Linked DNA regions of Bombyx mori. The protein of the gene in region 2 purifies or fractionates together with the protein of the main gene of each other region. This does not show direct contact. Links are inferred from orthologs where the notes say so. Each region holds a gene or a part of one and is shown on either strand. Other genes may lie near its edges. The genes, in order: transcription elongation factor B polypeptide 3 and RNA polymerase-associated protein CTR9 homolog.

Region 1 (4,349 bases), on a different chromosome or scaffold from region 2:
CGATAAATTTTAGACCGGTTTGATTCGGATCTGCAATACTTGATTCTAAATTTAATATTAAACTTACATTACAGATTTCAATTACCCATATGTATCTATTCGTAGGTTCTTTTTTCACAATAAATAAGTGTATTATGCATGTATTTTAACTACCGTATATACTTCTTTAGGACACTTTAGCGGGAATACGAAGAGCGAAGTTGTGTGGATTGTTTTATTTACGTAGCTTCTCGGATTCTTCCAAAAAGTCCATTGAAAAAGGCTCAATAATTAACCACATTTTTTCTGAGACTATATTGCATCCCATCTCATTTTGTTTCATTTCATTTTATCCCAATTAATTACAGTCTCAAATAAAACAACTTTAACTTCTATTCGTTCCATATCATTTTTCATATTACCAATTTAATCTAAGAAGAAAATAATATAAGGCTTGGCTTAAAGGTCTCGTTACCTGGCCCTAAAATCTTTAAAACGAAGGTGATTTTGTCTCGAACTAAATATTGACGTATTTAGACTAAAATCTAGACAAATTACTTTGAATTCATTCAAATTACATAGAAGAATAACTCCATCTTCAAATTGCTTAGAATATTTTCGGAACATAGTCTTGCTTTGCCAAAGTTTATGCCAATTTTAACGTCTTTAATTTTATGTTAGCTGTACGTTGCTGCAATATTACACGTAGCGTAGGTAGACCTCACAAAAAGGGAACCAACGACCTGTCGTTCTGGCGAGGCCTGGGGAAGGCCTATGTCCAGCAGTAAACGTCTGTGGCCTAAACGATAAATAAATAAATATTTAACGGTACATTGCGGTCAAAGAGCAAACACTTTTTAAAATCTGTTTAAACATATGCTATTTCTTTACACTTTTTGCCAATAAAACAATTTAAAAGATCTGTCGTATGAGCAACGTACTCTGTACCTATTCAAGAGAAAATAAACATTTAAAAATGTCTTTGGTAGATTACACTAGCAAGCCAAAAAGCTTTTGGCTACGAATGCGAGGAGCGAAATTATGTGAATTGCTTTATTTTGTTCAATTAGTGCTTTTTCAGGTTTAAATGTCTAATAGCTATATAGTTTAATAACTGTTTAGCATCCGCAAAAGCGCACAAACGCGGAAAAAGTCGCCGTGGTCTAAAGGATAAGAGGTCCGATGCATTCGAATGTAGCGATACATCGAGCCAGTGATCGATGAAACAAAGCCGCTAGTCGTAGCTTCTCGGGTTCTTTCAAAAAGGCCTATGAAAAAACTCAGAAAATAACCACTATTTTACTGTTACCTTAATTCATCCAATGTCATCTTATTCAATTCATCTCATCTCAAATTATTCAATTTCATCTCATTTCGTTTCATATCATTTTTCATATTGTAACAGAAAATAAGAAGAAAAATGGCTTTGGCGAAAGGGCTCGTTATCAAGTCATAAAATTATCAAAAAAAAACTAGTACCTAAACCAAAGCCGTCTAAAAGGTAAAAACCAGTCAACGTCATTGACGCATGAAAAAGTGACAAAAATGGTGCCCGTTTACCAGCTGGCAGTGGCTATCATTGTCTGATGAAAAAAATCAACCCTTTTGTTGTAATATACATTTGGAATGGCGTCTGTTTTAGAATTAGTTAAATACTACCAACATAGTCTGGAAAAGAATTCTCACGACGAACCGAAAGTAAGTGAAGTTTTCAAATATTGAAGACTAATGAATTTCACAGCAATAGGAAGTCGATTGGAAATATATTCAATATTTACTGAACCCAAATTATGCAGTGAGGTGACATACGGTTTTACAACGAAACTTTTAACGCTATCAATACTGAATACAGTAAAAAAAAAACTGACGAAAGTCCTCCGACAAACTTTAAAGTTTTTACAAGGAAAACGTTAAATAAACTATAAATGTTACAAATCATAAAGATAAGATACAAGTATAATTATAATAACTATCAGAACGCAAATCATATATCAGATATAATATAATTCATCAGCACTCGACCTCAAAAATATACAATAACCCTACTGAACTTTTATTAATCAACAATAAAAAGGCAATGTGCAACAAATGATTAATAACTTATCGTATTTCAATGTGAAACATCACGAAAAAGTTATTAATCTAATTGACTGAATGAAACACAAACATTCACCAGAAGTAAACCCTTTACGTTAGTTATTAAGCTTGAATATCCTAGTGGAACGGTTGAAATCAAGTATTTATTCTTCAATTAAATGTATTGTTTTGTAGTAATGAAATAAAAATATAAGAATAACAACCTGAAGAATAAATATTCAAATTAAGTTAGCTAACTTTGGCAATATAATTTTTGGAAAATAGTTTTCATTGTATGATCCAAAATTTAGACACTGATTTGTGGTCAACTGTTTTTCGTCAAATTTATTGTAATGAATGTTATTGCATCAACGAAGACATTGTTTTTGTGAGACTTTCTGTAACAGCACAAAATTTATTTTTTGTCACTCAATGCTTTTAATCTGTTAGTAGAGATGACAATTATCACAGCATGAAGTTAAAAGCTAACAACTATGGCATCTGTTAAAATTAGACATGGTAATTATGTGCTAAAAAACAAAACAATGGTCATTAGCCCATAGTGACTTACGCTGTTGACAAGGCTGCTGCCTTAAAGCATTCCATCCAGTCCAAAATAGGGTTAATAGAAAAGAAAGAAAAAGAAGAAAAGTAGAATCTACTCAATAAAGGAAAATGGTTACATCTTTGTCATAAACAAATAGTGTTTGTAGAGGGACAGACAACTTTGTATTGTCTTATTAAATTCCTAGTACCTCTAATAAATTACTTGTGATAAACCAGATATTGTACCTGTATACCTTATAATAGTATATTATAATACCTTAAAATCTTTATTTTTTAGATTTTAAAATGCATAGACAAACTGAGTCACTTAGATGTGACAGTTCAACACTTACAAGAAACAGGTATAGGCCGGACTGTCAATGCATTACGAAAAGAACCAGGAGATGTTGGTCCTGCAGCCAGGGCTCTTGTTTACAAGTGGAAAGCAATGGTAGCAGCTGAATCAAGCGATAATGAGGGGGAGTCAAATACAGAAAGTAAGTTATTCTTTAAAACTTGTCATGAATTACCACTTTTTGTGATGGTGCTAAAAATTTTTTTTTTATCATTAATAGCTTCTAATACTATCAGTTAATTTCATAAAAGTAAGATACTGGAAGATTATTATATTTGCTTATAGCTTGAAATGATTTTTCCTGTAGCCTTGTTACATTACTACTTGAAAACTTGCTATGATCTAATTTGGCAGACACTCACAATGGGCAGAGAAATGATAAAGATAGAGAACCTGATAATAGTCAATACACTAAAAACCAATCTGAACATCGGGAAAGCATTTCAACTGCGCCTAAAACAAATCAACAAGTTCACAGAGATATGAATGGCCACCATGGTGGCAGCAAGAGGAAAAGCCATAGCAGTGAGGTAAATATTATTGATATTTTATAAAATTGCAAGGTTAATGGAATATAAAACAATGGTAAACGTCATAGTTTTAATTTTTTGAAAATCCGGTTGTTTCTAGTGAAAGAACATAACATTGCATAGTTGTTAGGTTACACATACATGATTTTTAAAATGCTAAAGTTTTTATAACTCCATGTCTTAAGTGGAAGTAGTTTCAGAATCAAACTAAATACATCAGATTGTTAAATAGGATTAGGGAGGAAAAATTACAAGTGTAGGTTACTTTATATAATAGAGTAATATAATAATATAGCTTGATTTCATAATAAAATCGGCTTTCCTAGACCATAAAATATAATAAAGCTACTTTCACTCTGTGTAGATTTGTGTCATCAAAAATACTGTTTAAACAAAATCGTCCATGCCATTTGCATAATTAAATTCATTTTGCTTAAATTAACATTGGTGTTGGTCGTGTAGAATAGATTAGGTATATGAAGGACTTAATTTATTTAATTTGCTCAAGTGGATGCTTAGAGAAGTTATATGTAATATGAAACTCCAATTTAATGTAGTTTTTAGTCAACCTTACAACTTTTGACCAACCAATAATTTGAGGTTGGTGTATCAGAGAACAGGATGTTGTGGTATATAATGTAATATAGATAAAATAAGTTGAAGTCTGTTTTCTTCTAACTCGTTTTATTTGTATTTTGATAAAAACTACGCTATCATTAATTTTCACATTTTTGTAGAACTAACACCGGGTGTTGAATTGTTACCGCAACCGTGAGAGCCACTTAGGGAAATAAAATCGAAAAATCAATAAGATAAATATAATGAATTTCCCCAGCCTTTCAGACCGAAACGCACGATTGCCC
Region 2 (4,390 bases):
TATGTAGTAATGTAGTTTTGATGTTGTGCTGAAGCATGTCTACTCCAAAAGTATCTTGTTCTTGGGAAACAGACTACTTATACAAATAGTTTATTGCAAACAGCAAACAACCCACCTTTTTGAAAAAAAAATGATTGGCCAAATGATTTAGAACCATAGGATTTTTTGGGTCAATAGCATAGGCTTTAGACAACATAATAACTGCTATTTTGTTTGATTCACTCTCCTGCAGATTTAATTTTAAAATGGAAAGTCCCACTAAAGCACCTACACATTGTGGATCTAATTGTAAAGCTCTTTCAAAGGCCATCCTGCAATAAATATATTTATTATTTCTTCTTCTCAGTCTTTTGCACTCTTGACAGAGTGGTCGTGGTCATCATTTGGGGTGGTGGTGCGCTTTACAAGAGGTCACCATTTCTACAATGCTTTAAAACTATATATATATATATATATATATATGTGTGTGTACTTCTTTTTTTTTGTATGCAATGTAGTACCCCTAGTTTTGTTCATACAATATAATAGAGATTTCAATCTCATGTCTTAAGATATGGGCTCCAGTAAACACTACAACAGATATACTGTATGACTTTTGATCAAAATTACACTTCTTTTTCCTCTTATACCATATATGTCAGGTTGGGACGGCATGACCGCTTATCATGCGGCATTGGGCGTTGATATGTCATGACACAACATAAGTTTACGACATACCGCCTGCTTGGGTTATATGTCCAAATACTCATTGCAATATGCCATAGGGAGGGACTTTTTCTGTTTTTCACTTTGGTATTTCTTTAACTTTTAATGGAAATGATTGGATTTGAAACTTTTGTTTAAAGCTTATTCACAGTTTTCTATTGATATGCAAATATGTCTAAAAGCCCAAGCTGGTGAATTAACATATTTGACATGAATGGGATCACAAGTTACACATAAACAAATACTTCGAAATCTCAAGTGCAAAGGATTAAGTTACTCTGCTATTCAAACTGAAACAGTTTCTTAATAGCAGTAATGGACCAGGACCTCCAGTATCCAAAATCAGAATTTGCAGACAAGCCATAATTATTACGATATAGATACCTGGCTTTCTCCTGATTATTCAGCTTCATAAAACAATGTCCCATACCCAGTCTCAAAGCGGCTGGGCTGTCTGGATTTGTTCTAAGTGCTTTCTTATAAAAAGCAAGTGCCCCTCTGTAATCTTTACGATTGAAAGCTATGCAAGCTTTACCGAGCAATGAAGGCACATTATTTGGGGATTGATTTAGGACAAAGTTGAACTGAGCATCAGCCTGTTCCATTTTGTCACCTTCCAATAAGCAGAAATATGCTCTACCAAGAAGATGGTTCTGGAACATTTCACATTATTAGAAAATAAAGCGACAATTAGCAATGATTAACTGATGCATTATTTTTCACTTGCCTGATCATACATAATAATTTTATCCGCCATAGTGTACAATAATGTTGCCTTTGTAAATAGTTCTTTTTTCTTATCTTTTGACTTCTCTTTGTTAGCTTCTTGCACATAGTATGCGGCCAACATGTCGAGAGCCCGCATCTGATCTCTTTCGAAATCCCGATAGTCAATGTTGGCATCTGTACGTGATGCTTCCAGGATCTTGAGGAAGTCATCGATTTTCTTTTGTTTGTAATATGCGAGCTAAACATAAAAAGTTGAAAACTTTTAACTGGAGCATAAAGTCAGTCACACTTAAGATGCAGAGCAACTGTTTCTTATTATATAACAGGTTAATAATAAATATGAATGTCCCGAAACTCAAATTGTACAAATTCCTTTTTATTATTTATTTTATTAATTTCAACCACAACAAACTACATTAGATCATATCAAATTCCACCTGATGTATGTATACAAATACATATCGAAGAAATTATATTGTGTAATAAAATTATTAATATGATAACCATAATTTTTATGAATTTGCATATTTATTCATATATTCATAGGGTGCATTGTCTACCCATAAGATACCACAAAGCTGCCTATTCCCATGACGTAGTCATACTTTCAAATTTTTTGTGACATTTACACTGCTGACACACATGTCAGCATGTTGGCAGTGTTTGCTTCATAATATCTAACACCCCCATTACGATAATTGTAGGCAATAAAAATAATGAAAATGTGTACTCCGAATTATGTATCATAAGTGTGAAATTATTTTATGATTGTATATTTAACATATTTTGATGTAAGTCTAAAAGAACGAAGAAAATTGCAGTTAATGTTTATATTTAAAACTGACATTATAAGTTTAAGGTAAAGTAATTTGTGAAAGTTCTTTGTAAACATATTTACTCAACTAATTGTTAAATGATCATTTACAGTTGAAAAACCTTTTTTAATTAAAGATTTTCTTGCATTTTATATTAGTTCATGTATTTGCAACGTTGTGATTGGTATAAAGTTTTAATTTTTTTCGTCTGCTATGATTATTTTCCCATAATAGAATAATATCGAGGTTAGGTTAACTCACTGCAACATTAATCCAAACATTGAGTTGTGAGCGTTCTTGTTGTAAAATACTGAGCACCTCATCGCCGGAAGGTAATTGTTCTGGATCCAGGTCAATCACCTAAAGAAATCAAATATTAATATAAAAATGTTACACGAACACTTTTTAAACGCCAAACTGAATTAGAGTTTTTATTTCACCTCGTCGGTGCTCATTAAAGGTATTTCCAGCGACATCTTGATTTTTTTATTTTTAATTACTTCATTATACAAAATTCACTAGTTTGCTAACTAAAATTTACCAAAACGTATATTTATCGCGTTTTTTGTGTATGTACAACATACTAAAAATTTTTTTTTTTTTTTGGAGTTTGTGGCCTGGTTTCTAGACCTTTAGGCCAACATATTACAACATAATCCTGTTGAGCACAGATTAGTATAATCATAGAACATATATCATTTTACTCTAAAGATATATATCACTCATCTAGCTCACTAGCCCATTTAGATCACTAGCTCAGTGATCCAATTCAATTGATTGGTCTGTCAATTAATTTATTTTTTCATCTTGATCATTTAGCTCAGTATACATATATCACTCACTTTAAATCTCTCTCACTTACACAAACCTGTCTTTAACTTTTATATTAGCCTAAGCTAGTTCTCGGAAGATCTTTTTTTTCAGTTTTATTAGTTTGTACATTAGACATTGTTCACGCATCTGCAATGCTGAGGATCTCGATCCGTGAAATTATCGTATCTGTATTTTGTCATTAGTATTATTATATTGGTATTATTGTATAAATTTTCGCGACCAATTATAATCGAGCTGTGTGTGACGCTATCACGCTAGGAACGTGTGCGGTTGCTATTGGATAAAAATATTGTTCCCTGACCCCATCATCATATAAAACTGTAAAATTGCTAATTCAGAATACACATGCCAACTGGTATCTCAAAAAATAAACATCTTTTAATTTAACAGAATACAGTCCTCAAGTCCAAAAGAAAATCAAAAGTCAAGTACAGCATATCTATTGGCGCTACACACATTATACATATTAAATTGATTTTCTTTTGATTAACTTTTTTAATTTTTTTTTTATATAGCATCGCATCCGTCGTAATATTAACTTCTCTAATTAATTTTTTTTTTTTTCTCTTATGTTTTAATGTCTCGTAGCGATCTGTTTTTCAGTTAACAATGAGCTATTCCTCTGGCTGAATTTATTCTTAATAGATTTATAAACAGAATCAGATATCCAGTGACACCTTCATCTTTTATTGTTAGATTTAATTTCTGTTGTGTAAGGTAGGTATACTGTGCCTCCTTAATCTAGTAAACTGCACAGCTCCTGTGCCTCCTAGGTCCGACGCCAATTTATTGACGTGTGTCGATAACCTGGCTTGATATTTTTTGCTGTAAGCTACTATTTCCTCTTTCACTGTGGGAATATTTAGGTCCATTTGTATGATCTTGTTGCTTATGTAATGCGGTATTCTTAGCATTGTTCTGAAAGTTTTATTTTGAAACCTTTCCAGGATCTCGACGTTGCTATTGCTGGCAGTTCCCCAAAGCTGTATGCCATATGTCCATATTGGCTTTAAGATGGTTTTGTAAATTAAAATTTTACTTGTTGGCGAAAGCTGGGATTTCCCTCCAGTCAACCAGTACATATTTCTTAGCCTTATGTCTAATTGTTTTCGCTTAGACCAGATGTGCTTTTGCCATGTCAGTCTTCGATCCAGATGTATGCCAAGATATTTTGCATCTTCCGCTTGCGGTATGTTTTCGTTATATAAGCTTACAGGTGGACAGGTTTGTTTCCTGAGGCTGAATGTAACGTGGGATGATTTGCTTTGGTTTACTTTAACGCGCCACATATTAAACCATTTCTGAAG

What was found.
Region 1: the proteins of RNA polymerase-associated protein CTR9 homolog (region 2) and transcription elongation factor B polypeptide 3 purify together in Homo sapiens (affinity purification with mass spectrometry; 4 studies listed by BioGRID and IntAct, with this or other methods). This does not show direct contact. The link is inferred for Bombyx mori from reciprocal best matches to the Homo sapiens genes CTR9 and ELOA.

The regions. Positions count from the first base shown.
Region 1 is NC_085112.1:7,690,756-7,695,104, forward strand, and holds the start of transcription elongation factor B polypeptide 3, read left to right. Parts: upstream 1-1,260; 5' UTR 1,261-1,605; coding exon 1,606-1,677; intron 1,678-2,899; coding exon 2,900-3,098; intron 3,099-3,310; coding exon 3,311-3,486; intron 3,487-4,349. UniProt on the Homo sapiens protein: SIII, also known as elongin, is a general transcription elongation factor that increases the RNA polymerase II transcription elongation past template-encoded arresting sites.
Region 2 is NC_085129.1:3,976,589-3,980,978, reverse strand, and holds the start of RNA polymerase-associated protein CTR9 homolog, read right to left. Parts: upstream 2,934-4,390; 5' UTR 2,726-2,933; coding exon 2,690-2,725; intron 2,610-2,689; coding exon 2,511-2,609; intron 1,673-2,510; coding exon 1,433-1,672; intron 1,359-1,432; coding exon 1,090-1,358; intron 312-1,089; coding exon 116-311; intron 1-115. UniProt on the Homo sapiens protein: Component of the PAF1 complex (PAF1C) which has multiple functions during transcription by RNA polymerase II and is implicated in regulation of development and maintenance of embryonic stem cell pluripotency.